Linked DNA regions of Nothobranchius furzeri. Each later gene encodes a partner of the first gene's protein in a complex. Links are inferred from orthologs where the notes say so. Each region holds a gene or a part of one and is shown on either strand. Other genes may lie near its edges.

Region 1 (10,986 bases):
AACAGCATTTAAGACTTATTGTCGTATGGGTTCTGGTAGTCCAATGGCACGACCGTCTGACTTAAGTTTTGCTTTCCCCTCTGCTGATGCTGGTTCGACTCTCTGTGGGGTTGGCAGCAATCTATTTAGTCAGCTGAAACATTTAATTTGTTTATATTTTAGTTGTAATGTTTATTTTCTGCGAGATATTTATGTCTCTAAAAGTTCTTTGAATTTGGTCGTTCCTAAACAGGGTGTCCGCGGGGTTTTAAAAAGTATTAAAAAGTGATAAATAAAAATAGTCAAATTTAAGGCCATTAAAAGTGTTAAATTTGGTCTCAGAGGTATTATTTTTTCCAAATTAGGTATTATTTTTCAGACTATCAGGTGTCGTATTCTGAACATCGACATAGAAATATATTCCGAATGAAATGTTTTGAACGATTATAAAAACAAAACAAGCCGATTATTTGCTCCTCCCACTTGCGCTGCCCTGAGTTGGAAATGAAGCGCTCCTCCTGACAGTGTTGCCAACTTAGCGACTTTGACGCTATTTCTAGCAGCTTTTCAGACCCCCTTCTTAACTTTTTAAATCTTAAAAGTACCTAGCGAACACCTCAGAAACATCTCTGGTAACCCTTAGCTACTTTCTGGATAACTGTCGTCGTCATTTCCTGCAGGTTAGCTAAACACTCCACCTGCGCTCCGGACCGTTCTTCAGGACATTAGGAAAGGGAATGATGCAGTGATGTGTCAGTCGCTAAAGAAACAGCTCTCAGAGCCGGCTCCTTGTTGGAGTAACCAGAGCGAGTGACACACACACCGCACCTGCGGGCTCCTGAGCCTCTAAAAACAGCTAAATGTGCGCGTGCGGCACGCTAAAAACACGCATGTACATCTTGCCCCTGATTGCTGTGAAACCGGGTTGGGGGTGGGGGTGTAGCTGTGGTTGGGACAATTATTACATTAACTGATGGACTTGTAAATAAATAGTTCATAAATAAGGTAGAAATAAGTTCCTCACGCTGATAACAAATAACTAATCTCTCTGAGGACACTGTGCTGGTGTATTCTCCTACAGCACCTTGACATGACTAAATAAATGTTATACAACATTTTGTGAACATCAATTTATTTGCATTTATTTGTTATAAATGCCACTGTATAATTCTTGCTGTCAGTATTTGCAAGATATTGGTATTTGGGTCTGTACTGGTTAGACTTAAATGAGTTAAACCAAGGTCTATAGCCCTTGGGTCATAAACTATGAGCTATAAGTATATTGGTCTTTTTATACTGGGAATCAGGAGTTATTATAGTGATCATCTTGTTTCTTGTTTATTTTTGCCCTGATTGTGCCCTGAGCAGTTTTATGACTGAATAAAAACAAAATAAAAAAATCTACATAAATTGAAAAATCGTCTTAAATCATCGAGATCTCAATTTCAGTCACAATAATCGTGATTATTGTTTTTGCCATCATCGAGCAGCCCTACTTTAGCATATCCGGTCACATAATGATGACGTCATATTCAGTGGTCGTTCTGCATCATTTCAGGCCTCGTGGTCAACTGTCTGAACCGCTGAACAGAAGTGCCTGGCTTATTTTCTAAGTAAAATAAATATGTGCAATACGTTGTCAACATCAGCGAGTCTCTTAAGTCTATTCTTTTTGTATGTTATATATGTTAAAAAATGTGTAAATAGGTCGCTGATTAACATTTGCAATTTAGTGTTGTGATGGTTTTAAAAAAATTCTGAAGGTAGTAAAAAAAGTATTAAAAAGTAGTAAATTTTACTTAAGGATTGCTGTATATACCCTGCTAAACAGCATTTTAGTTGAAACTCTGCTCACAAATGGACTCACACTGGCTAAATAAACGAATAAATAAATAAAAAAACACATTAGTCATTATATTGTAAACGGTATACCAATAAATGGTTGTAAATATAGTACTGGCAAGTGTAGCTAGAAAGGAATAAAAAGTTGATGCCGCTACTGGTAGGCGAACCTGCGCAAAACTGCACGCCAGTCTGACTCCATGACCACTTCACCACTACATCTGATAACAGGGTAGTGGCGTCATATGTAATTGTTATACCCAGAGTGTCCTTGGAGATGGGATGTATGGTTTTTCCGGCAGTGTCTCAGTAGAAGTCATTTCAGAAATAATTTGTCAGAAAATTCACAGAATATCCAGATTTGAGAACCAAGACCAGCCCCGCTTCGGAGGAGGAGACCAAACTGAAGCTGAGATGGGAGGAAAATGCATGAATGAGGCCAAAAATGGCTTTGGCGTATTTCTTATGAGGAAATGACAATAAAACATGGTAAAAAGTTCCAAAAGTTAGATTTTTAATTATATGGAACCTTTACAAAAACTGTTCAGTTAACCTCTCAACTCCGTCCTCAATCTTGCATTTTAGATGATATTAGCTAGAACACCCTCTTTGGTTCCAGAATGCTGTCAAGTCTGACAACTGGAAGGAATTGGACTGACTCTGATGGAATGGGCGGGGCTGACTCTGGTGCAGCTCCGCCTTTGTGGTTCTGCAGCGAGCACTACTTGAATTATATTGGGACAATATGATGGAGCTAATCAGCTGAGAACTTAACTGAAAGCTACAGGTGGAGCACAGACATGAAATATTTAACAAACTTTAACAAACTGTACCAATTTTGGTTCCAAAGACAAACAGAATCCTCCCCGGTGTCCCAATCGGGCCGCGGGTTTTCTGGATGAAATGGTCCAAAGCATGTCTGCACCTCTGGTTCTGATATCCAGCTGCAGGGCACGGAGTTCAGTTTAACGTCTCTGGTAACCCAACATCTGTTCTCGTTGCCGTATCCCAGAGGAAAAAAACCCAAATCTGACCGGCTAGCAGAGGCTTCAGAAGCTACATCTGACTGATGGCACGTTGTTCTCTGCTATAACGCTAACGCAGAAACACCAGAGTCAGGTGCTGTTTACTATCTCTGTTTTAGCAGAGCGCCTTGTGAAACATCACCAGCTGCCCAGGGCTTAGACCGGAAGTCAGTTTCAGTTTTTCCCGCGCCAGTAAAAAACATCAGATTTTCTTAAAATTCCAGCCGCAAAAATCCTAAAACCTTTTTCATCTGAGGTTTTAATACTTCTGTACACGTGCCGTTCAAAGGAATTTTTCCTCTGGCCGATATCTTTAAAAAAACTGTTTTTTTATGAAGCGCCTCGTGATTATTATCTTGAGATGCGCTATTTAAAAGATCGTCTTCTTTCTTTTTTCAAAGAGAAATAATAAAGTTTTGCTGCGTCAGCCTGTAGGAGTTCTTGCTGAACTTTACCAGGGTGACGTGATGTTAAATTGGGAGGAAACCTTTGCCTTTTGAGTTAGATGTTTTTTTTCTTGTTTGCTTTAATAATCTCCTCCTCAGAGACACAGTGGACATAAGGAGATAAGTCAAAATGTCCCCAAAGGACAGGTAGTGGAAGGGTTAGTCAGTGAGGGGGGGGGGTTAGCTGTCATTAAATCCTAATTCAGCCCACAGCCTCCTGCTGGTGTTGTTGTTATTAAATATAAAAAGTTTATGATTCTTTGTGGTTTTAGTGTTTTCAGCAGCAGAGCCTGCTTTGTGCTTTGTCACATTTCATATGAGACCATTGGGTTCAAACGGATGAACCAATCGTGCCCAACGTGTTTTTCCTGTTATTTATCATATTTCAGTGATAATTGATTTAAGCTGTTAATTTAAAAACAATCATTTAAATGTAATTAAATAACCTGTTAAAAAGCACTAGAATGTGGGAAATGACATCTGCTCACGTAAGTGTTTCTGTGGGAGACCCCCAGACCAACACCCCCATCACCTGATGTCCTCTCTCTGTCCGTCCCTGGGACATGTGGCTAAACATGTCTCAGTCGTGTCCTCTTCTCAGAGGAGCAGAAACTTGTTAGCAGAAGGTAAATGAAGACTTTGCTGCTCTGTGTTAAAGCCAAAATCTCAACTCGGGTGTGACTGAGCAGGGACACGTAGAAAACATGCAGCCGTTGCGGCTTCAAGGACCAGGTCTGCCCTCCCTCCTTATACAGTACAGAGTTTGGCCATATTTCTTCTGCTTAATAAGAAAATGTTTAGATACTTAATTCAGGGTGTCCGCGGGGTTTTAAAAAGTATTAAAAAGTGATAAATAAAAATAGTCAAATTTAAGGCCATTAAAAGTGTTAAATTTGGTCTCAGAGGTATTATTTTTTCCAAATTAGGTATTATTTTTTTCAGACTATCAGATGTCGTATTCTGAACATCGACATAGAAATATATTCCGAATGAAATGTTTTGAACGATTATAAAAACAAAACAAGCCGATAATTTGCTCCTCCCACTTGCGCTGCCTTGAGATGCAAATGAAGCGCTCCTCCCAGTGTTGCCAAGTTAACTTAGCGACTTTGATGCTATTTCTAACAGCTTCTCAGACCCCCTTTTTGACTTTTTAAATCTTAAAAGTACCTAGGGAACACCTCAGAAACATCTCTGGTAACCCTTAGCTACTTTCTGGATAACTGTCGTCGACATTTCCTGCAGGTTAGCTAAACACTCCGCCTGCACTCCGGACCGTTCTTCAGGACATTAGGAAAGGGAATGATGTAGTGATGTGTCAGTCGCTAAAGACAGCTCTCAGAGCCGGCTCCCTGTTGGAGTAACCAGAGTGAGTGACACACACACCGCACCTGCGGACTCCTGAGCCGATAAAAACGGCTAAATGTGCGCGTGCGGCGCGCTAAACACACGCATGTACATCTTGCCCCTGATTGCTGTGAGACCGGGTTGGGCGGTGGGGGGTGCAGCTGTGGTTGAGACAATTATTACATTAACTGATGGACCTGTAAATAAATAGTTTATAAATAAGGTAGAAATAAGTTCCTCACGCTGATAAATAACTAATCTCTCTGAGGACACGGTGCTAGTGCACGCTCCTACAGCACCTTGACATGACTCAATAAATGTTATGCAACATTTAGTGAACAGCAATTTGCATTTATTTGTTATAAATGCCACTGTATAATTCTTGCTGTCAGTATTTGCAAGATATTGGTATTTGGGTCTGTACTGGTTAGACTTAAATGAGTTAAACCAAGGTCTACAGCCCTTGGGTCATAAACTATGAGCTATAAGTATATTGGTCTTTTTATACTGGGAATCAGGAGTTAATTTAGTGATCATCTTGTTTCTTGTTTATTTTTGCCCTGATTGTGCCCTGAGCAGTTTTATGACTGAATAAAAAAAAATTTAAAAATCTACATAAATTGAAAAATCATCTTAAATAATCGAGATCTCAATTTCAGTCACAATAATCGTGATTATTGTTTTTGCCATCATCGAGCAGCCCTACTTTAGCATATCCGGTCACATAATGATGACGTCATATTCAGTGGTCGTTGTGCATCATTTCAGGCCTCGTGCTCAACTGTCTGAACCGCTGAACAGAAGTGCCTGGCTTATTTTCTAAATAAAATAAATATGTGCAATACGTTGTCAACATCAGTGAGTCTCTAAGTCTATTCTTTTTGTATGTTATATATGTTAAAATATGTGTAAATAGGTCGCTGATTAACACTTGCAATTTAGTGTTGTGATGGTTTTAAAAAAATTCTGAAGGTAGTAAAAAAAAGTATTAAAAAGTAGTAAATTTTACTTAAGGATTGCTGTATATACCCTGTAATTACATTCTAGTTTATTCAATAACTGCTTGATTATTTTCTTCCACAAAGTTCACCAGCTTGATGCTTTTAAATCCAAAACGCCCCGAGTCACTGGCACTTTAATATGCTTGGGGGGCTCACCTTTTTCACTTTCGACCCGTTTTCATGTCGGCTCCTTAACCAGCTGGTAAAATCACAGGTTGCAGCAGCTCAAACTCTGGTTTCTGTGTCTGCAGGCTGAGGTTGTGATGAACTACCATGTAGGAGAGACCATGCTGTCGCTGCAGAAAACTACTCTGATCCCCGGAGGCTCGGAGTCTCTGGTCTACACCACGCTGTCCGGAGGCATCGGCATTCTGGTCCCCTTCACCTCACACGAGGTGAACTGGCTTTTGTTCTCAACAATCCAAAATCATTCACCTCCATCCACTCGTCAGCATTCCTAACTTCCCAACCCTCTCCCTCCTTTTCTCCAGGATCATGACTTCTTCCAGCATTTGGAGATGCACATGCGCTCAGAGTTCCCTCCGCTTTGTGGCAGAGATCATCTGAGTTTCCGGTCCTACTACTTCCCAGTGAAGGTTGGTGTTTTGATTTCAAGATGAATCAAACTTCTGACCCGATTCTCGTTTACTCCAAACAGGATTTACATCCGGATCTTTTAGACTTTGGTTCATTTTTTATTCATGGTCCTTTTGGTTGACCATGGACTGTGTGTTGGTGTAAATGAACAAAAGAGGTTTTGGGTCTCTGCATCAGAACCGGGCAGGAACCCATCAGACCTGAGCGATGCTTCAGAACCTCCAGCGGCCCTTTAGGAGCCGACTGGTTGGAGCTGAAGCGTTTCACCTTTCAGAACCACTTTATAATCTAGAGATTATTTTTCGTTTGTGATTGTGTACACTAGGGTTGTCACGGTAACCGGTGTAGCGGTAAACCCCGGTAAAAAAAGTTGATAATAATAATAACAGTCTTGTTTTTTAAAAACTATATTATCTCGGTGGGTTACCGTGGCTGCGGTGTAGGCGCGGTGACCCTTACCAGCCACCGTATCATCTGCTGAAGTTGCTGGCGGCACATGTGCACTTTGTTGTTTACAACCAAAACTTTCTTGAAGCTAAAGCTGAAATAATGGCCAAAGGAGGAGACGGCAGCGCTCAGGACATTTATTATCCCTCAAAGAAGACAAAGTGGGAAGTACAGGCATTTTTTTTGGTTATTTGAAGAATGCCGAGGGACAGCTGATAGAAGACGGCTATCCTGTTTGCAGCACGTGCAGAAAAAGTGTCTGTGAAAGGCAGCAACGCTTCAAATCTCATGACACATCTGCATGACCATCACCCACAACTCTACAGTCAACGCAAGGCAAGCTAACGTTAGCGTTTTAGCTAAAATGTGTGATCCGAGGATTTGGGTTGAGGGAGAATGCAACGAGTCGCTATATAAAGCAGCCGCAGCGCCGCTACCTGCATATAAACCGTGTCGCGGACACCCCCATGTTGAAATGACGCTATGCATTACGAGGCTCCCAGGGGCAGATAAGAGTTGGTCTCTCTCCGAGAATAATTATGAATTTAACAACGATTACTGCCTGATGACATTTTCCCACATCTGCAAAGCTCACTGGAAGGACACAAACCGAGGACAATATTTTCCTGATATAGGGTTTATTACTCAAGTAAGGGTAAAAAAAAGTATCGGATTAGAAGACTACTTGAGTACTGAGTATCATCTGATCTAATATTTTTAAATGATGACATCAAACAGACAAAAAATAAGAAGTTATGGGCAAATATTGTATTTTAAAGACTAAAGGGAAAAAATGTAAATAAACAACATAATTTCAAAGTAACCCGTTTTAGGCTAAATTTAGACACAAACTGAGGACAACATTTTCCTGATATACAGGGTTTATCTAGTTGTCTGAAAATGTAACACGTTTAAAAAATACCGAAAACCGTGATCATTTTGGTCACAATAACCGTGAAGTAAATTTTCACACCGTGACAACCCTATTGTACACTACGGCAAACCAGATATCCCTCTGGGACAAGGGTGATGTAGAGGTCAGGACCGGGACCGTAGAACTGAACTCTCAAGGATTTTTCTTTTTACAGAACGTGATCGACGGAGATCTCTGTGAGCAGTTTAACAGCATGGATCCACACAAACAGAAGAGTGTGGCTGAGGAGCTGGACCGGACCCCTCCAGAAGTTTCTAAGAAGCTGGAGGACATTCGTACTCGCTACGCCTTCTAACCACACACACACACACACACACACACACACACACACACACACACACACACACACAGCAGCAGCAGCGGTCAGCTGATTCTGCGGTTTAACCAGCACAATTTCCTCCTCTTCCCACACAGACGGCACACGGGTTACGGGTGTAATTACAGAGAATTTACCATCAGGTTTTCATACTGACCCGAGCCGTCTGTCATCGGCCAACCAAGATCATTTGGATGATATCTGGTGGGAAAGTTTGGTGCTGCTGGGAAACGAGGCTTAAAAATGTAAATATTAGTTTGTTTTTCATCGTTTAATAAAACAGGTTTTCTATGTTGTGATTATGTTCAACAGTTATCAGTTAGAATACAGAAACATTATTCTAGCAGGTGGAGGTGACGTCTCTCCTCACCTCCACCTGCTGGGGCCAACGGAAGCCCGGCGGGGTCATTAGACAAGGAGGAAGAAACTCAGACCAAGTGGGCAGCATTCCCATCGGTGAGTAAAGTCCCAACCTCGGCCACAGATGGCATTCCACTAAATCACTGGACTTGGGGTTTGTGGGACGAGACAGAGGTCTGTTTTTGTAAATAAAGTTGTTTTTAAAAAAAAACCTGTTGATGTTCTCGTCTGTGTGTGGAACTCATTACATCCATTAGACATCAGGAAGTGTTTTCCAGAAACTGATGATCGTCTGCAAAGTACTGGGGAAATGTCAAACCCCCACAGAACAAGTAACTTCTGTTACTGAAGGCCTTGACGTCGAAGCCATTAGTGAGAGTGGTGCCCATCTCCAGCAGTCAACGGGCAAGTAGGCGGGGTACACCCTGGACAGAGCCAGTCCATCGCAGGGCAACACCGAGACACACAGGACAAACAATCGTGCACACACACCTAAGGACAATTTGGACTGACCAGTCAACCTAACAGTCATGTTTTTGGACTGGGAGGAAGCCAGAGTACCTGGAGAGAACCCACGCATGCACAGGGAGAACATGCCAACTCCATGCAGAAAGATCCCAGGCCGGGAATCGAACCCAGGACCTTCTCGCTGCAAGGCAACAGCTCTAACCACTGCACAGCCCCTGTTTGAATAAAATCTGAGGACCAAACCACGCTTTACCAACCAGCTGAGCCACTTTTGGAGGGAAATTTCTATAAAACTTGTGTTTAAGGGTCAAAAGGTCACTTCAGACAATGAAATGGGATCAGATGAGTTACTTTTTTGGAGTTGGTGACGGAACAAACCGACTTCTCTGGAAACCATCTGGTGAACCACCATCAACAACCTCCTGGCCCTTGACAGAATATAATAACTCGACAGATTTAGTTAGAGGTTTTTTTTTTTTTTTTTTTTTTTTTTTTTTGCTTTAACCATTGTTTGTATCCACGGATATTCCCAACAAAAATCCAAAGTTTGGCATCTAAACGTGCCATTGTTTGTTTCTGCTGCTGGCTGTGGTCCAACAAGTAGCTCCAGAGCTTGCTTGGACCCATCTGGCACTTGGATCCGTTTACATGTCGGCATGGGCCCGGCGCTCCAGCTCCAGCTCCAGCTGACAGCAGCTTGTTTAAATTTCATAACAGCGGGAACGTAATGATTAGCTTCTGCGGGGATGAGAAACCCAAAAGGCTCCTCCTGGTCAGACTAAACCAGCCCGGTGAAACACAATGGCTGGATGGTGGATTTTCATAGAAACAAAACCACAAAGGAAGGTCAGTAAAATATGTAATAAAACAATAAAACTATTCTTTGCTGTGATGAGTTGATGCAGCAAACATGTGGCTTTTGTTTTTGGGAGGAGAGTTCATGTCCAGCTGCTGCAAATCAACTCAAGTGACCCCAACGTTACACCGGCTGTTAACTTCCGGTTTTCACGCCATCAGGTTAACTTAAGCATCAGAAATCTGTTTTCCATTAATTATTCTGGAAAATCCATCCATTTTCATCCAAGGCCGGGCGTCAGTCCCGATCAGAACCACCTCAGCTGGTTCCTTCTGATGATGATGAGGAGCAGCCGTCTGAGGCTGATCCCACAGGAGAGAGAGGTCACTGAAACTGCTTGTTTGGTAGATTTACAACTTTATGAATCCAGAAACACTGACATTAAAACAGGAATTACCTTTGGAAGTTATCTGAGATCATGAGGCCAAACCAGCTGGAGTATTATTGGATACAGAATTTAGTTTCTGATTTTTCTTAAGATCAGGTTGTAGACCAAGTCTGAGATCAGGTATTCTAAATCGAACATCTAAATCTGCCGTCTCCACCGTGATGAAAACAGTCAGCATTCCTTCTAAGGTGGAGCTTCTCGGTCTGTTTGTGTTTTATGTTGCAGAAGTCGCTGGATTTGTTCTCTTGCTGTTTTGGCTCCAAAAAGCTGCACTTGACCAACTCAGGCTGCGTGTGTGTTTACATGTTTCACATACTGTTGTCTAATTATAGTCACATAATTGTGTGTTTGGTGGTTTTATTGTTTTCACGTCAGAAAAAAAATGTCACGTTATAGTTTTTCGGTCCTCAGAGCCACAAGCATGCTGATGAAGAGGAGCTGTGGGACGACGTGCAAACACACAATCCACCCCATTCACCCCCTTTTTTCTCAAGAGACCCTTTATCTCCTAGATCAGCCCCCGAGCCGGTAAGTGACATTTTATAAATCTGCAGGAGCAGAAAGCAGCTCTGTGAAGAAGAGGAAGTGAAACAGTTTTGTTATCAAGCACTGGAACAAACTCTTTAAAAGTCACATTTATCCATGATGCTGTGAGGTCTGTTAGGCTCTGTTCCGTAAACTGAAAACATTCCCGTTTTTCTGCTTTCACGGTTTCTGTCTCTCATTGATCCATTTCTGATGTTTCAGAAACATCTTGTCTGATTCTCCAGGGGTCTCCTGCTTCCTGTGGTTTCCCTCAAAGTGGTTCTGGACCCCCAAGGCAGCTGTCAGTCTTCCCAGGAGGAGCCGTCGCCGGCAGGTTCACAGCAAGGTCAGAGGTCAGCTGTTAACATGATGATTTGATAAAGACTGAGCAAGTTTACCTTGTTTCTGATTTAAGTCTGGTAGTTTTCAGTATTGAAACCAATTTTTTTTTACAT
Region 2 (11,086 bases), on another chromosome or scaffold:
AATAATAAAACACATTAAAAATACCAAAAAAAAAATGTATTTGATGCTGGTAATGACTTGTTGTTTATTAATGATTAAGTTAAGAGGATTATAAGTAAATGTGGTTTTTTAAACTGCTTTATTGTCCAAAATCTCAAAGATAATTTCTGAATCTCTCATTTCATGTTCCTCTCTTGTAGTTTTTAACACTTTACTAGCCACGACCAACACAGAAAGACCTGCCTCCTCTGAGCTGAGAAAACTCACCGGTGGACGTATCCCATGTGGTGGATGTACTCCAGCGCTTTGAGCATCCCTAGCAGGATGTATGCAATGGTCAGTTCACTCATACCGTCTGTAAAATGTGTGCAGATAAGGTCTCTAGCCGATCCTGTGAGGTGAAACATAATCACACAAGTCACCCTCCATTCACACAAGATGCTTCCGTTACATCCCAGCCGTTTCCTTACCGTACGCCATGAATGGTGTGATCACCCACAGCTCATTTTCAGCTATGAAGACGCTCTTGTATGGTAGAATGCTAGAGTGATGGAACAACTTTGACACGTGGAGTTCCCCCTAGTGGGAAAAAAGAGAGAAATGCATCTTAGAAAACGGTAACCCGACAGAAGTCAGAAGAAGTTGTGCAATACAGACAGAAGAGAAGGAGTTCCCAGGAAAGCAGAGGAAGAGACCCATAGGATCCAGTAATGATGCAGACCTGCAGATAGGTCACCATGTCATTAGTGCACGACTCCAAGTCGATCCGCCGAATGGCCACGTGTTCCCCGGTGGGTTTGTATCGAGCCATATTCACCGTCATCAAATCGTCCAAGCCCTTCCCTTCAAAACACACACTGACTTTGTTTAGGTTTAAATTCTAAATGATAAAGTTCATAGTGAATTGTTGGTGGCACAGATCCGGCTGCTTTTTAAAGGAAAGTAAAAACGTGTTGCTCGTGCCTCAGTGTGCAATTACCAATAACTGTGAGGAGCTCATAGGAGCTGCTGTCAGGGAGGAAGCTGCCCATGCTGTCTGGATGAGGCAGAGAGGTCAGACTCTCCTGACTGTCCTCATGAGCCTGGAGGAGGAGAGGAAGAAATAGCCAAATGATGTCCCGACGCTCTCAAAAAAGGGCTTCCTGGGTCAGTCACTAAAACAGCAGCCTGACGTAATACCACAGCGTTAATGAAACCCAAATCATCTGTGAAATGATAAATATCAGGAAAACTAACTGCTGGTCCAAAACGATTCAGTGATCAGGTTAAAAGTCCTGCTAAACAGTGAAGAGTAGCCCAGAGCCTCAGAAAGGCACAACATTAGTGAAACACAGAGAAAATTGTGATTTTTCTATTAAAAAAAAAAACAAACTAATGTTTTATTAAAAAGAAACGTGAAGCTTGTGCTCAACTCGTCAACGACAAATGATTTTACTCATCCTAAAAAATGTGACAGGAAACGGTAAAACTGTTGGCAGTGAGGACTCCTGAATTCCATCACGTTATCACTAAAGTGATGGAAATTAACCAACCGCAGCGGCGAGCTGTGGGGGCAAATGAAGGCAAATGAATGATTGCTTGAGTTGTTTCCAAGGCGACCAAAATGAGAAGAAGCCTACAGCATGAAAAGAGCCAACTTCACCTTTGCGGGTAAAACCAAAGCTTGTTCCACGTGCTGATGATTCCAGTGAATGTTCATTTAGATATTTTGGCTTTATGCACCCCCCCCACTCAAAGTTAACATTATAACCGTCACAGCAGAGAGGCCAAGCATGCCGAGACAGCCGCTGATTCGAGAGTATCTGAATCACCAGGGCCTTCCACCACGAACTCCACTGATCTACAGGCTGCAGGAACGCTGTCTGCTTGCCAGTCATTACACAGAAAAACACAGCAAATACAGAACATTTCATCGACACCAAAAGGGTCGAAACTTTCAGTGGAGCTCCAAAAAACATCCAAACCCCAAACGGAGCGGCTGCATGGAGCACAGCATGTGTTAGCAACACGTTTAACTCACATGACAAATTAGTTTTATTTTCTCTGTGAGGAATAACAACTTGAATAAGCAGCAGGCGCTACCGTGAGTGACCAAAAGGCCCAGCTATACAAGCATGTGCAGCAGCATGTGTCATGTGCTGGGCACTCATGCATACATACATGTGCAAAGCCTTGGGAGGGCTGTAGATTTCTCCATATAGAAATCCTAGTGTGCACATACATACGGTATAAGTGCATGCATGCACAGACACAAAAGGCACGTGAGGATGACGATGCAGTGACAGGAGTACCACACTTACTTTCCTGTGTGAGAGTCCCTGAGCTTGCTCTGGGGCAGAAAAACCAAGTCAATGACACAAAAACACGTAAACAACGACAACAAGAGAAGGGTCTGCGTTGAGAGGGGCTTTTAGAGCTGGTAGGCTCTGTCTCTGGATGTCAGGGTTAGCGTTGTGGCATTTGTCACGACAAGCAGCTTTGTTGTTCATGTGGCCACACACAGAGCAGCAGGGTCATGTTACCATTAAGGACACCAGTCTGTAGAAAGTCTGATTTATAGCAGCTACTCCGCAAGTCCTTTAAAGAGCCAGGCAACAGAAAGTGAGCACAGCCAAAACCGAAGCTGCACAAACGTGCACGAGTTACCAACGGCCTGCAAACATAACAAAGATGAAAACCAGGGAATTTTACAAATGGAATAACAAAAAAATGAGAAAACTAAAGTTTGCACAATACTGAAAGCCTTCTGTAAAGTAATAATAATAATAATAATAATAACACTGTTTACCTAAATAATATCACCAAAAGTAACTTCAGAAAACAGGATTTTGGAGTCTTATTTCCAGTTATTTGGACGTCTCGCCTCTGATTGGCTAACAGCAACGCAGCTCTACCACAGACTGTTTGCTTACCAGTGTTGATGTTTTATCTGTACTAAAAACACAAGCCTGGCGGAGTTCTGCTGTGTGGTGGCCGAGGCATTCTCTGCTCTCTCCTGGACGCTAAACCAACAACAGCCTTCCTCGTCGTGAGTCGAGATGGGTGAGTCCATGAGTGTTAAGTGACAGCGTGACGTAGATCTGTCAGGATTTTCTAATCCTGGAGTTTCACCATCGATTTTCTATCAGAAGCTAAAGCAGGAGTTAGGTGTAGGAGACTATTTTCATGTTCAGCCTGCATGAAAATCTCAGTGGCCGATCTTTTAAAAAAATAATAAGTAAAAATTGTTTCTCAGTGAAGAAACAACAACACGCATTAACCAGGAAACAGTTTCCTCTGGACTTAGATATCATAAATTAGCCATCTGTGTACCTTAACTTAGCAAATCATAATAATTATCAAATAAGCTCAACAGGTAGACTTAAAGACACCGGGTGAAATATGGTTTTTAGATCGCTGTTTTTAAAAAAAATGCGCTTCTGGTTCTTTAAAAATGTACTTTTAGTCTCTAAAAATATTCTGTGACTGCACCAATGGCAGAGATTTGAACATCCGAAGAAAGAGAACAACAATTCTGAATATAAAATTATTAAATTTAATTCAAACTAAACTTCACCTGTAAAATGAGAGCAACCTTCTAATAATTCTATATATTCCTTTAATGTTTTCCTTACCTTCTCTCCTAAACAAGCATGCACAAGATTTTAATTAGCAGGTGATTTTTGTTTAAAATTCTCTGATCGAACATTGAGACGAACAGAAATAATGGCACGATGCAGACCAAGACAGGTTAGACAAGAATGATGAGCGATACATTTATGATGGCATCTGAAAGCAGAGCACAGCGAGCACTCAAAGGATAGCGCACACCAACTGGATTGTTTGTTTTTTTGTCTCCTCAAGGGAAATAAAAGCTATTGCCGGAAGTAACTGAGCATGCTAAAACACCCCGTTAAAAACTTGAACCTCACCTCCAAATAACTCCAAATCCCGCAGGCTCTCCACACTCAATTTCTCAGATACCCAACGCTGACAGACACAGAGGGTTAATAACAAGCATGAAAAAGAGAGAAATGCAAGCAAGAGTAAGAAAATATTTTAGAGCAACACAAAGAGAAAGTATTTCTTGTTGGTGACTGCAGGTGTTAATGATGAGAACTTAATTTACAGATGAGCAAGATTCTTGTATCTTCTTATATAGGAAAAAAGCCACAAAAATATAATTAAAACAAATAAAAATATGTTTGTATTGTATAAACTTTAACATTAAATAACATTGTGTAAATAAAATCTTTCTTCGGGAACTGATTAAATTTACTGGAAATCTTTGGTAACAATTCCATAAAGTTGATGAAAGTTAATCGTGTTCTGGGCTAGCAGCCCTGTGGGCCGGTGTGTGTGGAATGACTCAGCAAACACTTACAAGAAAAGACATCGATCCACTTGAGTTTGTTACATGCGATGCTGAAAAATCTGTAAAAATAAAAGAAAAATCTATGACGAGGATCTTTTTCTGCTTTTTTCCACATTTAACTACAGATTTCTGTTTCACTATCATTAATATGTATTTCTGCATTTAGTTTTGTCCAATAAAAATGTTTTCAGACTTGTGTACGATCAAAATGCTGTATTTTTTATATTTAGGGCTCCTGAGAACATCCAAGCTGAATTCGTCATTTATCATGGGTTTTCTCTGAACAGGATGAAGCTAGTTTGACCTGTTTTAATATCCCTGATAGATTTTAGTTGTTTCTGTAACATAAAGAGTGATCTGTTTACCTGAACTGCTGAGTCAGTATTTTAAGTTTACAGAAAACTTAATAAAAACACAGTGGATGAATACTTTACACTAGGGGTGCACTGATTGCAGTTTTTGGCCGATCTTGAGGAAAAACCTGACTTGCAATACCGATACCAATGTTGTCTTAACTTTAAGCAGATTACGTCAAAGTTTCAATTTCCTTTTATTGAGAAAATCATTATTTTTATATCAAATATTAATGAACATATTTAACATTACTGTTTGAACTACAAAATCACATTTGTTCCTTTAGACTTTCATTTTTATAATTTTAAATACAAAACTTTTGTACCTGTTTTGACACAATCGTCCCAAAAAATAGGAATTATTTGCTTTAACACTAACTAGGGGTGCGCCAATTGCAGTTTTTGGCCGATAAACAATCTTGAAAAATACCCAAGATCAGGGCCGATAAATCAGTGAACCCCTACTTTACACCTCTTAATGAGGATGAAATCGTTACGCACTTTGACAGAAAGATTATTCCAACAATTTGTAATTTATTATTATTATTTAGGACAAAAATTCAACAATTGTCAGCATAAACCCATTTCCATTCTATGTCTTGCAATACGTTAAACAGCAGCACAGATATCTGGAATAATTCCCTATATTTAAGCAAATGCTTCTTATAAAAGCTCACCATTAAAACACAAAACCATTACAGGTATTGTTGAGTCAGTTTTAGCTCGCCGTGGAACTGGCTAGCAACAACAAACCACCGTCAGCTGCTGCAGCTGTCGGCGCGTATTTCAACAAACATATACAGCGTTGTTTAAACAGTATAAATACTTACCTATTTCATGTGAAAAACAACGATCTAATACAAAATTTATGAAACCTTATTTATCGAGCCATTCTCTTCAACTCAACGTTCTCTGTCGCGCACGGACGACGACACGCCCACGGAGCGTCCGCGCGTGTTGATGACGCATTCACCACTGCGTATGCTAGCGCCACAGGAGCTTTATTTACTACATTCAAAAGAAGGTAAACAAATGTACACTAATGGCTGTTTTCATAAAAATTCTTATCTTTTGTTGTTAAACATTGTTACACTATACAGCCACTTTTTACAGACGTACCAGAAGAATGAGAGACTTGCGTCAACATCGAGTGTTTCTACGCACATACACCTCGGCCTTAGCGCGGCCTTCAGCTAATGCTAACATTCTGTTCGTGTTAAGCAGATTTAGTAGATCCCGAAAGTTATTTATTCGCGCTGGTTTTCTGTCAGAAAGGAAATTAACACAACGTTTTGTCATCTTTGGACTTTAATATGTAATGGTATTACAAACGACGAGTCGTTTCGATTCGTTTTCCCGGTTGAACGAGTGGTGAAAATACGTTATTTTACATGAAACTCTCTTTTAAATATTAAATTGGTGCCAGTTGTTGTTTATGAATCTGAATGTTATTGATTTACTGGCAGAGTGAATTAGAGCCACGGTTTGTGTAGTCTTTATCTGACTTACTAAACAACCACTAAAACCCAATCGTTAACGTTTAGTCTTTAATTCTACTAAGTTACTATGTGTCATTTTTACTTTATATATATATAAACGTGATTGGCCAAAAAATGTTTTTAGATGACTAGATTTTGTTCAAAGCTTTACACTTTTTGCACTGCTAAGCGGCGATCAAGCCAAAATCAAAATTAAGCACATTTTAGGTGAGTTTCAATATTTTTTGCACCCTTGCACCCATGGTGATTTACATGCGAACATATGCTCAAAACAAATCTGTTTGATTCCCTGTCTTGTAAACATAAATGTTATACAGATTACATGCTATACTTCCAGCATTTGATAAAAATTCAAGTTTTTTCTAGAAATTAAGACGGCCACCTGTGGCCTTATTAAGGCCGTCTGTGTGGCCAACTGCCGCCACTTCTAGACTAAAGAAAGGACCCAACGAACCCCAACACAGTTTTTTTAGGTTTTTTAAAATATTTCAAATGAAATATATATTGAGAGATTTATTGGCTATTAATTAATATTGCACACATTGACTATTCAGTTGTCTTTCACAATCAATGTGCTGCTAAAACATATATATATATATGTATATATATATATATATATATATATATATATATATATATGATATTATATATATACACATACACATATATTATATATAATATATATATATATATATATATATTAGGCCTATATATATAGGCCTTAATAATCTGCTTCAGATATCGGCCATCTACAACAAAATTCTTTACAAATCGGTATCGGCCTTAAAAACCATATTAGTCAGCCTCTGGCTTAAACTACGATTTTGGTTTAAATAAAACCATCAGCTTGAAGTGATTCTTGGTCAAAGATACCAGAAGTCTCCTCCGAGGGGCAGATGAACTAAACCAGGGATTCCCAAAGTGTGGTGCGCGCACCCCCGGGGGTGCGCGAGCTGCCGCTAGGGGGTGCGCGAGGTGAAAAGTGTAATGGCTGCGGAGCTCAGAGAAGTCTGTCATGTGTCACCATTAGCGTAGAAATTCATTTGTGGGTGGGCCGAAGAAAAAGTAAGTGGGCCCAATAAATGTCATTGAAAACAAGTATATTTTTGCGCGCGCGTGTCCTTCACATGTGCCCTAGCTTCATAATAACAATGCGCCGAGCTTCAGCACTCTGGCCTGCACACGCCGATATGTTCCGTCGCGCGCGCGTGTGTCCTCCGCATGTGCCCTAGCTTCATAATAAGAATGCGTCGAGCTTCAGCACTCTGGCCTGCGCACGCCGATATGTTCCGTATTTGATCATTTTTAACGGTGTTGGAGAAATCTGAAGGTGGCGAGTCATTCTGGCAGATTGTAATTAACACCTGTCTCATGCAGGTGTTCTGACATTGTAAACCTCACACACAGAACATTGTGGAAATGATTCCCATTCAGGCTATTGACAGCGCGCTGAAGATCTGAAGTTCAGAGTGCGTCTGTCAGAAGTCAGACGCGTTCCAGCGGAACCACGGCTCACGGGTGCACATGTGAGCACATCTGGGCTGGGCAGAAGTAATTTTACAACATTGGTTTATAGCGCCAATAACGAGGCGCGGTGACTTGAGCGGCTGTGCCGCGCGCGCACACACACACAGATTCAATAAGCGCGCACGCTGCTTTAACTCCGGCGCGCCGTCAGACTGAAGGCAGAAATGAACGCTGCCTCCACCGTGATAAAAACTTTTAAGAGGTTATTTTTCATTCAAGGTCAAATTAAGATATTAGCTTCTGGGATGAGTCGGGTCCGCTCCAGCCAGTGACTCCTCATGAACCTGACCACAAGTCCTTTTACTGCAGCATTTGTTATTCCAGTCAGCATGACAGCGGATCGCAGATTCAGCCACACCATAAAACAGCAATAAGTCGGTCTGAGGTAAAAGTGAACATCATGGCTATATCTTGTCCCCTATAGACATTTGATTACGCATAAGTAGGTGATCAGCTCAGGTTTATGCAGAGCAGAAGGAAGGAGAGCGCTCTGGCCGCACAGGTTAAACGTTCCTACTTTAAGAAAACCGTTAAATTGCATTGTTTATGTGCTACCTGGGCACTCTAAATATTTATTTAAAATGAAATCAAAGGAAATTGTAATGGTATCGAATGTTTATTAATTACTATTTAAAAAATGAAAGTGATGGGGAATTTTTTTTTAACCCTGTCAGCTTAGCTTGACATCTGATAGAGAGAGAGAGAGAGAGAGAGAGAGAGAGAGAGAGAGAGAGAGAGAGAGAGAGAGAGAGAGAGAGAGAGAGAGAGAGAGAGAGAGAGAGAGAGAGAGAGAGAGAGAGAGAGAGAGAGAGAGAGAGAGAGAGAGAGAGAGAGAGAGAGAGAGAGAGAGAGAGAGAGAGAGAGAGAGAGAGAGAGAGAGAGAGAGAGAGAGAGAGAGAGAGAGAGAGAGAGAGAGAGAGAGAGAGAGAGAGAGAGAGAGAGAGAGAGAGAGAGAGAGAGAGAGAGAGAGAGAGAGAGAGAGAGAGAGAGAGAGAGAGAGAGAGAGAGAGAGAGAGAGAGAGAGAGAGAGAGAGAGATGCCCTGATGTGGGGCTGGGGGGTGTCGACATGGTCGGGACATAGAAGGGGGTGCGCGGCTAAATAAGTTTGGGAACCACTGAACTAAACGATATGAGGCCCCAGAGCTGCAGGTTGCAGACCCTCTCCATCTGCTCCTTGTTTTTATTACTGTTGACCAAAGTTGACAATTTTAACATTATTCATGTATGAATTCAGAAGGGTTTTGTAAGTGAAGGGACATTTACGTTTGTCTTTTCCCCCACAGCTCAGCCATGAACTGGAACAAGGGTGGCCCAGGTGTCAAGCGAGGGTTTGGGTTTGGAGGTTTTTCCCTTGCAGGGAAGAAAGAGGAACCTCAACTTCCTCAGAAGACTCACACAACATTTGGAGCTCCAGGATCAAGTGGAGGATACGGGAACAACCAGCAGCTCCCATCATTCTATAAAATAGGGACAAAAAGAGCTAATTTTGATGAGGAAAATGCGTGAGTGCCAACTGTCGGTGATAAATGTGTCAGTTATCTCTGGACCTGTTTAATGTAGTAATGAAATTTGTATTTTTCATGTTTGACCAGGTATTTTGAAGACGATGAAGAGGAGTCCAGCAGCAACGTGGATCTTCCGTACATTCCAGCTGAGAACTCCCCCACACGGCAGCAGATGAAGTCAGGTGGTGGCTCTGATAGCGAAGATGACCCCTTGGATGCCTTCATGGCAGAAGTTGAGGTGCGAAAATTGTAGCCGCTGTTCCATTTGTGCACTACGAATAAAATTAAAGCAGGTGTTACACAGAAGCTTACAGCAATGTATCTTTAACAGATCTTTCTTTTTTGCTTAGGACCAAGCAGCCAAAGACATGAGGAAACTCGAGGAAAAGGAGAAAAAGTTGTCCAAGTAAGACTCTTAATTTGTTTATTTTGGTCTCCAATAATCTGTTCAAAAGCCCAACCATTACACGCATATTTTTTTACGAATCGCACTAATGTGAGCTAATTTAGTCTTAGTTGGAGTTTCATTAGCTTAGCATGAGCAGCCTTTAGAGTTGCTCCCTCTGCTGTCACAAAAGAGCCATGCACCTGAGTTATTATAAGCTGGTAAGCAGATTTAGCGCCCTAAAGTTGTTTTTGGGTTGTTGGTTGTGTTTGGTGTACGAACGAGTTGCAGGGAAGTTTTTTTTTTCTCCGCTTGTTTTTCCAGGGGTGTTCGTGATGACATTGAAGAAGAAGATGAACAAGTGAGTGAGCCCTCCACAGTTATTAATCAGAGTCGTTTTCCCTCTGATCTTACAAAGCATCATCTCTCGGTTGCATTTAGGACTATTTTTGTGGTTGGACGATTTTTTTTAATCCGTCATCAAATGAGGAAAATTGCGATGAATGCGTATCTATTTGTCATCTAACTTCAAATGTTGTATCCTCCACAGGAAGCCTACTTCCGCTACATGGCAGAGAATCCCACCGCTGGGCTCACCCAAGAAGAAGAAGAAGACATTATTGACTATGATAGCGATGGAAATCCAATTCCTTCTGCGACCAAGAAAATCATCATGCCACTTCCTCCTATTGACCACTCTGAGGTAAAGCTGACAACAGCAGTCAAGAGCAGATAACCAAACAGCCCTTTGTGTTTTGATTCTGTGTAAAGTAAACAGTTTAGTTGTGGTTTTTAAACCTGTTCTCTGGTCTTTTGTTTCATAGATTGACTATCCACCATTTGAGAAAAACTTTTACAACGAGCACGAGGAGCTCGGTTGCCTCACTGGGACTCAGGTGTTGGACTTGCGGCACAAACTCAACTTGAGAGTAAGTCGGTTGTTATTTTCATGCTTGTTTATAAATTAAACTAATTAGAAAACAAAGTAAATGCAGTCTGGACTAATGTGGGTTTGTTTGTTTTTTTCTTTCAGGTATCCGGCGCCGCCCCTCCGAAACCTTGCACCAGTTTCGCCCACTTTGGCTTTGATGAGCAGCTGATGCACCAAATTAGAAAGTCTGAATATACTCAGCCTACGCCGATTCAGTGTCAGGTACAGTTTCAGATCGTACCGAGACTTCTTTGTGGTTGAAAGTAAAGTTTGATAAACCCGAATCTTGTTCTGATTAGGGTGTTCCTATTGCTCTGTCTGGACGTGACATGATTGGCATTGCCAAAACGGGCAGCGGGAAAACCGCTGCTTTCATCTGGCCCATGCTGGTTCACATCATGGACCAGAAGGAGCTGGAACCTGGAGAGGGGCCTATAGCAGTCATTGTGTGTCCCACTAGAGAGCTCTGTCAGCAGGTAAGGAACTTCAGATTTGTGGCTCTATTATTCAACCGTGTTGAGGAATTTTTTTTCTGTATTGAATCTTTCATTT
Region 3 (11,074 bases), on another chromosome or scaffold:
CTAGCAACCAAACATGATTGGCTGTCTAGTTGCAGTTTAGGAGCACTGGAGGAGTGAAAATGGTGGGCCTGATGGAGGAAATTCATTGTTTAATGAGAGACAGCTGATGAAAATTATGAATCATTCAAATTGCATGTGGGCACACACAATTAAGAAAATCTGACACATTAATAGTAAATATGTGAATATTTATATATATTGTAGTCTTATTTACTTTTTAGAATTACGCAGGAAGGCCGGCACTCCTTATGGACCAGCCACCACTGTTTACATTCATAATTTAATAAAATACATTTGAGTTCATTGCATAAATCTGTAAAAAACATTTTTGGAGTTATTGAAATTATGGATGTTTTCACATCATGACACCAATAATTAAAGGTGCAGTCTGATTTTAGCCAGACTCACTGTTATTGGACTCACCTTCCCAGTGAGGCGGTGGATTTCAGTTCGAAAGAATATAAGATTCCTCCTCATAAACTCATAACTGCAAGAGTATAGACAAGATACATTAAACAGTTTTTTTGGTTTAAGAACCAATATTATATAATAAGTTCACAGACGACTGTTGATCCTAACTTAAAATACGTGTAAAACAACAGTGTGAACATCTAACTGTATTTTACTCTGTACACTTGAGGTCAGATAAGTCTGGACTGATCTTAAAGAGCAAGTCACTCCCAAATCAACTTATTTTTTCTGATAAACTAAATGTGCGTTTAATTGTGCTGCAGACACGTGTAGTCAATAGTTTAGCACTTTATTTAAAATTTTAATTTTCTGCCTAAAACTGTCAGTGTTGTGCCATTGTCAGGTAAAAACTCAGCACTGCATTTGAATTTAAATCTGCCATCCCTATTGGCTAAGAGGTACCTTAAAACGTTAGCTGGTACCATATGATGTCACAATGTCGTTGTGAGCCTGTGTGTGTGTGCGTGTGCGTGTGTGTGTGGATTTGTTAGTGGCCCCGCCCTCTCAGTCTGCTAGGCAACAGCATTTGTTGCATTTGACCAAACAGGAAGTGGGAGTGGAGTAATACTTTGGTAGGGGGTGACTTGCTCTTTAAACAGCAGATCACAGCAAAAAGGAAAATTAAAAAGTCTGTTTTACCTTGCTTTAATAATAGAGTCTATCCACTCCTTACATTGCTCCTCGGAGTTGCACTCAAACACGTATTTTTTCTCAGTTTCATCTAGAAATGCTACAGAGAGACAAACACAACATTAACAAAATGTCACCGCCAATCAGCCTGTAAGAAATCAACACAGAAAGGGAGTCTGGGGCTCACTAATAGAGAAGGTCTGACTGTCCTCTTTCTCCACCCGGCACTGCTCCAACAACAAGGCTCCAATTGGCTGAAAAATAAACACTGAACTCATTAAAATGTTACAGCTCATCATCAGGGACAGAGAAAAAAAACTCATCTAACCTCCTCCTCATCTGTCCGGAAGTAAAAAAGGAAGTTAACTACGAGTTTCACCAGCCGCCTCTTGACAACTGAAAACACACACGCACGCGCGTACACGTACACACACAGAGAGAGAGAGAGAGAGAGAGAGAGAGAGAGAGAGAGAGAGAGAGAGAGAGAGAGAGAGAGAGAGAGAGAGAGAGAGAGAGAGAGATGATCAGTTTCACCGATATGACCCAAAATAACACCAAGCGGAAGTGAAAAGTGACGGAGAAAGTAACAGGTCTTACCGTCTCCTTTCTTCGGACCTCGCATTCCCATTTCAGCGGCCATCTCTGAAGGCTGGCGGCTCAGAGAGACCAGCTCCCTCTCGTTGAAACGCATCGCGTAAAATGGGAGGGGGGACACCTTTGCTAGTCTCTACGACCAAAACATTTCAAATAGAGTTAAAATAATAATATAAATGCAGTAGTTTCGTTGTTTATCATGTCGACTTATTCTGATTCTTTATCCGATGTCCTGAAAACGTGATGGAGAGTGTTTGGTTATTTCCAGGGTGAAGTAAAGTCAAGTGAACGGCATCTGCTAAACAAACAGGAAACGCTGATCGGTTCTTCTTCTAGTGGAGAGTTTAACGGTGCTTGTTAAACCAAATAGAAATACGCTTTCGCCACCTAGTGGGCTAACGCTTAAATGGCTCGTAAGAGCGAGGAGTTGCATGATGTCTGGATAGATAACTTTATAAACGTTCACTGATTAATATTAAAACTTTATGTTCCTCAAATACATTAAATATATGTTTGAGTGCTTCTGACTGAACAATAAACATTTACTCATTACTTGAGGTAGTTTTTGTCCCGTGCCCTGCAACTACAAAATAATTTTTCTAGTTTTTCCTATTGTTTTATAAACATTGAATTATAAATTACTTTATTTTCTTACAGGACTTACTATTTTCTTTTGTTAAACCGTGGCACATATAGCAAAATATTTCCTGAAGTATTTTAAAATGAAAATAATTATTACATTTTAGAAAAAAATCAAACATCACTCTGTTCAGGTTATGTTCTTCTTTTTCTTAACTGAAAAGTACTACTATGCCACGACAAAACGTTGCAGTATAAAAATTGATTCGCAAAATAATATTGCAAGACTTAAAATGAAGCACATTGATTTAAAAATCCATGATTGGGAGAAAAGAGTATTGAAAAGATTCCTTGTTAAATTAAATAACTGGAATAACACCAAATGTTGAACTGGTTGGTTTTATGCCTGTTTAAACTGCTGATACTAGCTCATCAAATTCAAAGCTCGTGCTCCATGAGAGCTAAGTGTAGTGAAAAATGGGTTTAGCAAAATTGACAAAGCAAAAGCATCCATCTGTTTTCTTCTGCTTATATGGAGTCAGCTTGTGGGGGCAGCAGCCTAAGCTAAGAGGCCCTCCCCAGGTTGGGCCAGCTCCTCCAGGGGAATCCCAAGGCGTTCCCTTGCCATTCGTGTGACATAGTCCCTCCAACATGTCCTGGGTCTTCTTTAGGTCTCCTCCAGGTTGGACATGCTCAGAAAACCTCACCATGGAGGCATCTAGGAGGCATCCTAATCAGATGCCTGAGCCACCTCAACTGGCTCCTCTACACCGAGCCCCTCCGGATGACTGAACTTCTCACCCTATCTCTAAGTGAGAGCCCAGAAACCCTGCAGAGAAAACTAATTTTGGCTTCTTGTATCTGCAATCTCGTTCTTTTGGTCACTACCCAAAGCTCATGACTAAAGGTGAGGGTAGGAACATAGATCGGCCGGTAAATCGAGAGCTTCGCCTTCTGGCTCAGCTCTCTCTTCACTACGACAGATCGGTACAACGTCCGCATTACTGCAGACACGATCTCATCCCACCTGTAAATCTCACTCGCCATCTTTCCCTCACTCGTGAACAAGACCCTGAGATGTATAAACTCCTCCACTTGGGGCAGGATCTCATCCCTGGACCCAGAGAAGGCATTCTACCCTTTTCTGACTCAGGACCATAGTCTCGGATTTAGAGGAGCTGATGCTCATCCCAGCTGCTTCACATTCGTTTGTGAACTGCTCCAGTGAGAGACGGAGATCACGTTCTGATGAAGCCATCAGGACCATGTCATCTGCAAAAAGCAGAGACCCCATCCTTAGGCCACCAAAATGAATGCCTTCAACACTTTGGCTGTGCCTCGAAATTCTCCATAAAAGTTATGAATAGAATTGGTGACAAAGGGCAGCCTTGGCAGAGTCAACCTCTCACCGGAAACGAACCCGGCCTACTGCTGGCAATGCGGACCAAGCACTGACACCAGTCATATAGGGACCTTACAGCCCCTATCAGAGGGCCTGGTACCCCATACTCCCAAAGTACCCCCACAGGGTCCCCCGAGAGATGCGGTCCAACACCTTGTCTAAATCTACAATTAGTTTAAATCCAGACCCTAAAAGTGAAAGCAACAAAATCAATAAAAGTTGGGAAACAAAACCATAGCAAAAGAAATAATACAAACAATTGATCCAAAATTAAAGAGAACATATTAAATAAATAAACAAAAATGCAAATGTTTCATATCGTTTTTTTAATTTATTTTTCACATTTTAAATGTAGCCCTTTACTCCTAAATAAACTAATCTCTTAGGTCTTTATTATATGCTTTTATCCGCAAACGTTTGTTCGTCGGTCAGTTTTACTCCTGACCACTAGATGGCAATGAATGTTTGAAACTATTTATGAACTGCTTAAGCTGAGAACCAACACGCATGCGCAAAACAATTCTGTCCATCACAGTTTGTCGTTAGATTTGTTTGGGAGAACGTAAGTTTATTTATAATATTTAGCTAGTATTTTGTTGTGCAGTTCGCTGAGCAGTAACGCTAAAACATTGATTAGGCTATATTTAATTTCATTCTGATAGTTTGTTCATTTTGGTAGGTTTAAAACTATCCTTGCATATATGGTAGCACTGTTAGCATTGTCAGAACGACGTCCATCGATGCTAAATGCTAACAGTAAAATGTGCGCGAAAGGATAGTTCAATATAGGGATTTTCTAGTTATGTTATTAAAAATTAAGACGTTTCAACCTAGAATCATGACAAATTGATAAATTGATGAAAGGGGTGTCGGGAAGAAAGTCTTTATGATTTGAGTTATAGATTTAACACATACACGCATACATACATATACAGTCCTGACTAATGTTCACTATTAATACTACATTTAAGGAACTGTGCCGCTCAGATATTCATTCTGGCTGCTGTAACACATAGCGTTACCATTTTATCAGCAATTATATGAAAGTTGTTGAATTTATATTTATGATAGTGTTACTACGTGCATACTGCTTTGTACAGTACTTATAGTTGTGAATGTTTTCTACATTTGAAATAGCATATGTTTCTCAGTTTTATAGGGATGGTAAAAATAAAACACCAGGGGTTCAGTTTTAACTGAACTGGCTTTTTCTGTTTTTTGTTTTGTGTTTATTTGAAGAAATACACGATACATTATGTTTGGTCTGTCCCTTTGATGCTATATGTTTATGTTGTCTTTAGACTGAGTTCATCACTTCAAAAAAATGGATTTCCAGCATCGAGCTGGAGGGAAGACTGGAAGTGGAGGGGTGGCGTCTGCCTCTGAGAGTAACCGGGACAGGCGTGAACGGTTACGTCAGCTGGCTCTAGAGACCATCGACATCAACAAGGACCCCTATTTTATGAAGAATCATTTAGGTTCTTATGAATGCAAACTTTGTTTGACACTTCACAACAATGAGGTGAGGAGGCACTTAACGGATTGGATTGGGCTATGTTAGAATTTTTGATATTTGGGAATTGTGTTTCTAAAGAAAACCCTCTACTTGATTTTAGGGCAGCTACTTGGCTCACACACAGGGAAAGAAGCATCAGACCAATTTGTAAGTCAACCTAAAACATTCTCTAACACAATTAATTGCTACTAGTTCAATATTTGTCAGTAAACATTTTCCTGTATAATTTTTTCTTTCTGAGTTAAATCTTTTCTATTTGGTGTTTTAGAGCACGAAGAGCAGCCAAAGAGGCAAAAGAAGCGCCGGCTCAACCAGCTCCAGCAAAGGTTAAAGTTGAGGTCAAGAAGTTTGTCAAAATCGGTCGACCAGGATACAAAGGTACACTGGCTGCATGGTTCTATATTAGATCAACATTATTTGGCTTTTTGTAACAACTTTTGATCCTCGTCTTTCTCTTTTTTTCACAGTGACAAAACAGAGGGACCCAGAGACTGGTCAGCAGTCTTTACTTTTTCAGGTGAAAATAAAAAATATATTTTAATTCTGGAAAAATCCTGCTGTGTTTCTGGGAATCTGAGACACTTGATAATAGGCTTTATGCTTTATTGTTCGTGTGAAACCAAAGTTAAATGCCATCATATGTTTAGCTCCACTTTAATTATTTTCCAGCCCAATATAACAGTTTTGCTCCCATTGTATGACCCCATTGTGGACACCACTTGAAGATGCGTTGCAGATACAAAACAAACTCCTATAGTTCCTATCAGGGCAATAATAACCAGATGTTACAACATCTGACAAGTTGTTTTTATTTCCCATATTAATCAGATCGACTATCCAGAGGTTGCTGAAGGAATTGGACCCAGGCACCGTTTCATGTCTGCTTATGAGCAGCGTATCGAGCCTCCTGACCGTCGCTGGCAGTACCTGCTGTTTGCTGCTGAACCATATGAAACTATTTCCTTTAAGGTGGATGAAAACTGTAATTTTTGTCATTGTGCTCATGTGTCACATTTCCGTAACATTAAAATGTTTGCTCCTTTAAGGTCCCCAGCAGGGAAATTGATAAAGCAGAAAACCGCTTCTGGACTCACTGGAACAGGGAAACTAAACAGGTACTGACTCTGCTTTGTTTTTACTAAAAAACTAATTTAAAAAATTTTCTAATGTATGAATGTTTTGTTTTCGTTCAGTTTTTCCTGCAGTTCCACTTTAAAATGGAGAAAGCCATTTCTGGTGGTCCAGCTCCTCCTGGCAACTTAAAGCACCCCGCTTCACTTATGAGTGGCCACCCATCAAACGACGGTCTTCCACCTCCACCACCAGGAGGGATGTCTGTTCCTCCTCTGCCACCCGGGGCACCAGGTCCCCCCCAAATGCCCCCACAAATGCCCATGCCCCCCATGCCAATGAGGCCACCTCCCCCAGAGGGCCTTATGCAGTGATAATTTGCTGTTAGAAATTGCATTGGTGGTCAGTTGTTCTGCTCTGCCTGTTTTGTATTTTTAGGATGTTGGATATCTTCAGTAGATTTTCATAACTTTGTTTGCCTAAAAATAAAATTCTAAAGCTAAATGTTATGGAAACATTATCGTCCTCTTGTAAACTAATATCTGGACACATTTTTATTTCTTATGTCCATTTTTTAATTAAAATACACAAATACTGAAAATACCTGAGTGTTTGTTCTACAAAAAATACAGAGAATTATCTGAAGTTTACTCTGATCAGGTTAAAATAAAACAAATCAACAAAATTGATTTTTCTGTATTTAAATTGATCTTCAACACTGCCTAAATCAGTTTGAATTATATTTTAACAGCAGTTTTCATTTTGGTATCAATTATTCAGACTATGTATTCAGTGTATGTACTCATAAAATCTTTTTAAAATAAAATGTTTTAATTTTATGAACTTCTGCTGAACACACAGATGTTTTATTTTTTTGTGACCCAAGTTTCCAGGGGTGACCATGACCCCAATTGGAAACCTTTTGAGGACTGTTGGTAATCACAAACTATGGATTAGAGAACATTCTCAAAAAAATTTGATGTGCTCCACGCCAAATATCATTCAAGAGTTTCTTTGTCCTGTGTCTGTGGACACTCCAGTCTGCTGCAATGAAGACCTCTGAAGATATCCATCAGCATTGCTTTCTCTGGCAGAAGACTTTCGAAGATGCTCCATGGCATTGCAAAAGTGTTCGCCTTACCCTTCGCTGCCACTGGCCCAGTTTGGAGCCTTTGTTTGGGCATTTCACCTCGGAGATGTGACAAACTGAATTTATGTTTATGTATTTAGCAGAATTTGTATAATGTTTCATACAATCTATTTGTAAGAATCGTTAATCACGATTTTTGTAGCTCATGTTTGCAGTAGATTTTCTGCCTTACACGAGTAACCAACGGGGGGCGCTCTAGAGTCGTTTACAGCATTTGCCCCATTTAATCACAAGTGGGGGATGAAATTATGTTTCTAGTTAGGCACATCTATTTAACAATATGCGCACAGTTTAACCTGACTACGTTTTTTTTTATTCTGACAGCGTCCGTACCTCATATTTTGTCAATATATTTTGACATGTTCTGATATATTTTTTGTAAAGGAGGCTGACCTATATAATTGTAAAATACCAGACAATTAACGAATATTAGCCTGCGTGGCTTATCATTTCAAGGCCTGGGTGCGGTTTACACATCGCACCAGCCACGCCTTTTCCTGTCACAACGGAACAGTCGTTCGTAAAGACGGCGGGTCAGCTGACAGGCATCAGCGGACCGGGGGAAGGAAGAAGCGGAATTTGCGGCTGTGAGCAGGGATTCTGTTGGACATAAAATACACCCAAAGGCTAGCCTGGAAGCCAAAGAGTGGTGGTGTTCGTGAAAGAACAAGAGTAAGTTAACGAAACGGAGATTCAGTCATGTATTTTTGCAGTAAAAACGATTTACTGTGATCTGTAAACCGCCAGAGAAAACAGGTGAGCGCTCTCTTTCGTTGACGACGCTAACATTAGCAACTCCTCAGCTAACCGCGGCTAGTTAACGTCAAGCTAGCCGCGGTTAGCTTGATGATAACGGAAAGCATGCTTTAAGATTCCTTCAAAGCTTAAAACGTGCCATCACATAACATTTTGATGCTGTTTTAGTTGGTTTGTTATGTAATTCATATCGTTTACACGTAAGTCACTGTAACTTGCTGTAACACACGCGATAACCTCAGTTTTTCTACCCACCGGAAGCCCGTTAAAAATCCGCTCGGCTCGCTGAGGATCGTCGGCAGCTAGCCTGCTAAATTAGCTAGCCATCGCTGTCTTCAGGGTATTCTCCATCACTTTGATCATACTGAAGGTCAAATTTTGAACCGAGCTAATACATTTAAATAACGTTTTAAACAAACCATACAGGGAAAAGATTATACATCGATGGTAGAAAAATATATAAAATGTATGAACATTGGTAAATGGCCCGAGTGAGCAGACATCTTGACTAAACCGATAAATGTACGATTCAGGTTTGGTGCAGGGTTTAATCGGTCACGACTGCTAGTAGTAATTTGTTTAAGAAAATTCTCAACACTCTCTATAAAAGTGTTTCAGTTATGCCTTCTAGGAATGCCATGGATGTCCTTTTTCCATCCTAAATTTTCTAGAAGCAGCATTTTTTAAACTGGCAGTTTTATTAGTAAAATACACTTAATTAAAAAAAACTTACATCCCCACGGGGATAAAAATGGTACATTTCGGATGTTAGTCCTACCAGGTCTAGGTAGGGTTTAGCGGACTATGATGATCTCAGATTTATATCTTTATCTGGTAGCATCCTACCCCAAACCGGTGGCTGCTGCTAATCTGTTAATCTTATTTGGAAGTGTGTGTGTGTGTGTGTGTGTGTGTGTGTGTGTGTGTGTGTGTGTGTGTGTGTGTGTGTGTGTGAGAAAGAGAGAGGTGAAGCTGCCTAAAAAGCTGGTGCAGCTATGCAAATGAGTGATTTAATAAAGTCACTAATGGTGTAGTGCAGCTGCAAGAGAGTGTGTGAGTGAGAGAAACAGGAAAACGGATGCGAGGGACAAGTGCCTCTCTGTACTGTGGGTGACTTTTACTTTACACTGCTTTTACTTTCCTATCTCCCCTTTTCCTTCCCAAATTTCAATCTTTTTTTTTATCCTCAGGAGGGGTTTGGTTTCATCATGGCAAGTTGGGATTGAGAAGCATTCACAATGATTGGAGGATTGTTCATCTACAACCACAAGGGAGAGGTTCTCATCTCCCGCGTCTACCGAGATGACATAGGGTATGTTTCTCAGACATTATGTGCGATGATAATCTTGTGGGTGGACTGTTTAGGTTTGATTCTGGATGAGAGGATTATTATGGGTTTCTGTTTAGCTAAATTAGTGTTTGGCATGTTTCTGCAAAGAAACAACACAATTTTATTGTCTGAGGCAATGATTTGCTTCCCTTGTGCTTATCATAAACCACACCTTCAAATTAAAAGATTAGACGCAGCTGTGTGGAATGCTCAAATTCAAATTGGCTTCACTGCCAGTTTCCTCATGGTGGGATAGTATTTGAATTATCATTTTCTTCTTCTGACCAAGTAATTTATTTGCTAAAATGTGTTCCTTTTCTTCTTTTTTTTTTTTTTGCCTCAATACATTTGTGTTTGCAAATACACTTGACTACACTTGTGATTTTCTCACTCTTGTAAGTCAAACTGTTTAATGCAAAATAGACCTTTCTGTATTGATGATTAATATTGAATGCATTATTTTATACAATGCTATGGTTAATATTTTACTTTGTTAGCAAAATATATAAATAATTATTTCTGCTGTAATCATTTACACTAAACGAAAAGAGGCGTGTCTGTGAGCAGAATATCTTATTGCTGCATCTGTGGTAAATTTAATTAATTTGTTCACCTTTGCTCTTTTAAATGTCTGAGTTCATTAGAGCAGGGGTTCCCAAATTGGGGGTCTGGGCCCCCAAGGTGTCCCAATAAGATTACTGGGCATTTTCTTAGCTGAGGTTGGCAAGATTTTATTTGTAAAAAAAAAAAAATTACATTTAGAAAATCATGGTAACACACCCTACAGTATAATCAGAACTCCATATAAAAGTTTGTAAATGATCACATTAATGTGTAATGCATGTTGGGGTTGGGGTCCTGGCTTGTCTTGGACATGGGCTATGGGGTCCTCAAAGGAAAGACTTGAACTCCTGCATTAAAAATTTTATTATGAAAGGTTAAAACATGTAATGAAACCCATGCTGGATACTTATTCTGAAATGTGGTTTAAAAACGGAGCTGAGTCATCACAACCAGTGCTGAGCAGCAATAGATGGAAAAATGTAGCCACTCACTTTTTTTTAATTTCATTCATTTTACAAAAAGGCATTGCTGTGTTAGGGCAAATGTAAGGTCTGCACTGCTCTTGTGCAACGTGTTATGGATATGATCTAAGTAGAATTTCCACCTTGCTTTCCCAGAATAAACATCTGCTCGTGTGTGTGCTTTCACCACTGTGTGTTGTACAAAATTCCACTGAACCCAAAAAAGAAAAGAAAATTAAAACACCCGCTCATTTTATTTTCATTGCATTATGCTGGAAAAAGCATAGTTGTGTGAATCCATGAATTTCATAGCTTATTGATGTTGCTTCAGTAGTTTTCGTAGGTATTCGTCCCCCTGGCTGCAGCAGCAGTGTAACACAAACCAGATGTTTTAGGTTTGCTCCTTGACCGCTGCATTAAATTCCTCATGCCTCTGTAATTGTGTGTAAATTAACTAGCATGTTTTTATCAGTCTGAAGCTGTTTGCCCTTTCCCTCCTGTACCTAATTGTGAAAATAGCACCCTAATAATAAACACCACGTTACTCACT

Evidence for each region.
Region 2: the proteins of sf3b3 (region 1) and ddx42 are in contact, whole or in part, in a cryo-EM structure (PDB 7EVN), measured with the Homo sapiens proteins. The link is inferred for Nothobranchius furzeri from reciprocal best matches to the Homo sapiens genes SF3B3 and DDX42. Residues at the interface, in NP_036558.3 of Homo sapiens: Glu159, Ala160, His161, Tyr211, His219, Val220, Val221, Arg222, Lys223; in NP_031398.2 of Homo sapiens: Lys145, Gly146, Ile147, Arg148, Asp149, Asp150.
Region 3: sf3b3 (region 1) and sf3a2 share a complex: the UniProt entries of both Homo sapiens proteins name them as parts of the 17S U2 SnRNP complex. The link is inferred for Nothobranchius furzeri from reciprocal best matches to the Homo sapiens genes SF3B3 and SF3A2.

Annotation. Positions count from the first base shown.
Region 1 is NC_091744.1:81,751,911-81,762,896, reverse strand, and holds the end of sf3b3 (splicing factor 3B subunit 3), read left to right. Parts: intron 1-5,891; coding exon 5,892-6,035; intron 6,036-6,131; coding exon 6,132-6,236; intron 6,237-7,772; coding exon 7,773-7,913; 3' UTR 7,914-7,934; downstream 7,935-10,986. UniProt on the Homo sapiens protein: Component of the 17S U2 SnRNP complex of the spliceosome, a large ribonucleoprotein complex that removes introns from transcribed pre-mRNAs.
Region 2 is NC_091745.1:10,014,877-10,025,962, forward strand, and holds the start of ddx42 (ATP-dependent RNA helicase DDX42), read left to right. Parts: upstream 1-5,613; 5' UTR 5,614-5,710; intron 5,711-8,996; 5' UTR 8,997-9,003; coding exon 9,004-9,215; intron 9,216-9,305; coding exon 9,306-9,456; intron 9,457-9,568; coding exon 9,569-9,624; intron 9,625-9,927; coding exon 9,928-9,964; intron 9,965-10,153; coding exon 10,154-10,306; intron 10,307-10,427; coding exon 10,428-10,532; intron 10,533-10,636; coding exon 10,637-10,756; intron 10,757-10,833; coding exon 10,834-11,010; intron 11,011-11,086. Other genes in the region: strada (STE20-related kinase adapter protein alpha), read right to left, coding at 247-370, 450-558, 701-822, 959-1,061, 2,280-2,308, 3,891-3,948, 4,343-4,354. UniProt on the Homo sapiens protein: ATP-dependent RNA helicase that binds to partially double-stranded RNAs (dsRNAs) in order to unwind RNA secondary structures. Unwinding is promoted in the presence of single-strand binding proteins.
Region 3 is NC_091751.1:56,888,902-56,899,975, forward strand, and holds sf3a2 (splicing factor 3A subunit 2), read left to right. Parts: upstream 1-4,149; 5' UTR 4,150-4,238; intron 4,239-4,977; 5' UTR 4,978-5,000; coding exon 5,001-5,198; intron 5,199-5,292; coding exon 5,293-5,339; intron 5,340-5,460; coding exon 5,461-5,570; intron 5,571-5,659; coding exon 5,660-5,709; intron 5,710-6,020; coding exon 6,021-6,161; intron 6,162-6,238; coding exon 6,239-6,307; intron 6,308-6,385; coding exon 6,386-6,637; 3' UTR 6,638-6,864; downstream 6,865-11,074. Other genes in the region: plekhj1 (pleckstrin homology domain-containing family J member 1), read right to left, coding at 424-487, 1,111-1,201, 1,289-1,355, 1,430-1,497, 1,699-1,792; AP-2 complex subunit mu-A, read left to right, coding at 9,408-9,481. UniProt on the Homo sapiens protein: Component of the 17S U2 SnRNP complex of the spliceosome, a large ribonucleoprotein complex that removes introns from transcribed pre-mRNAs.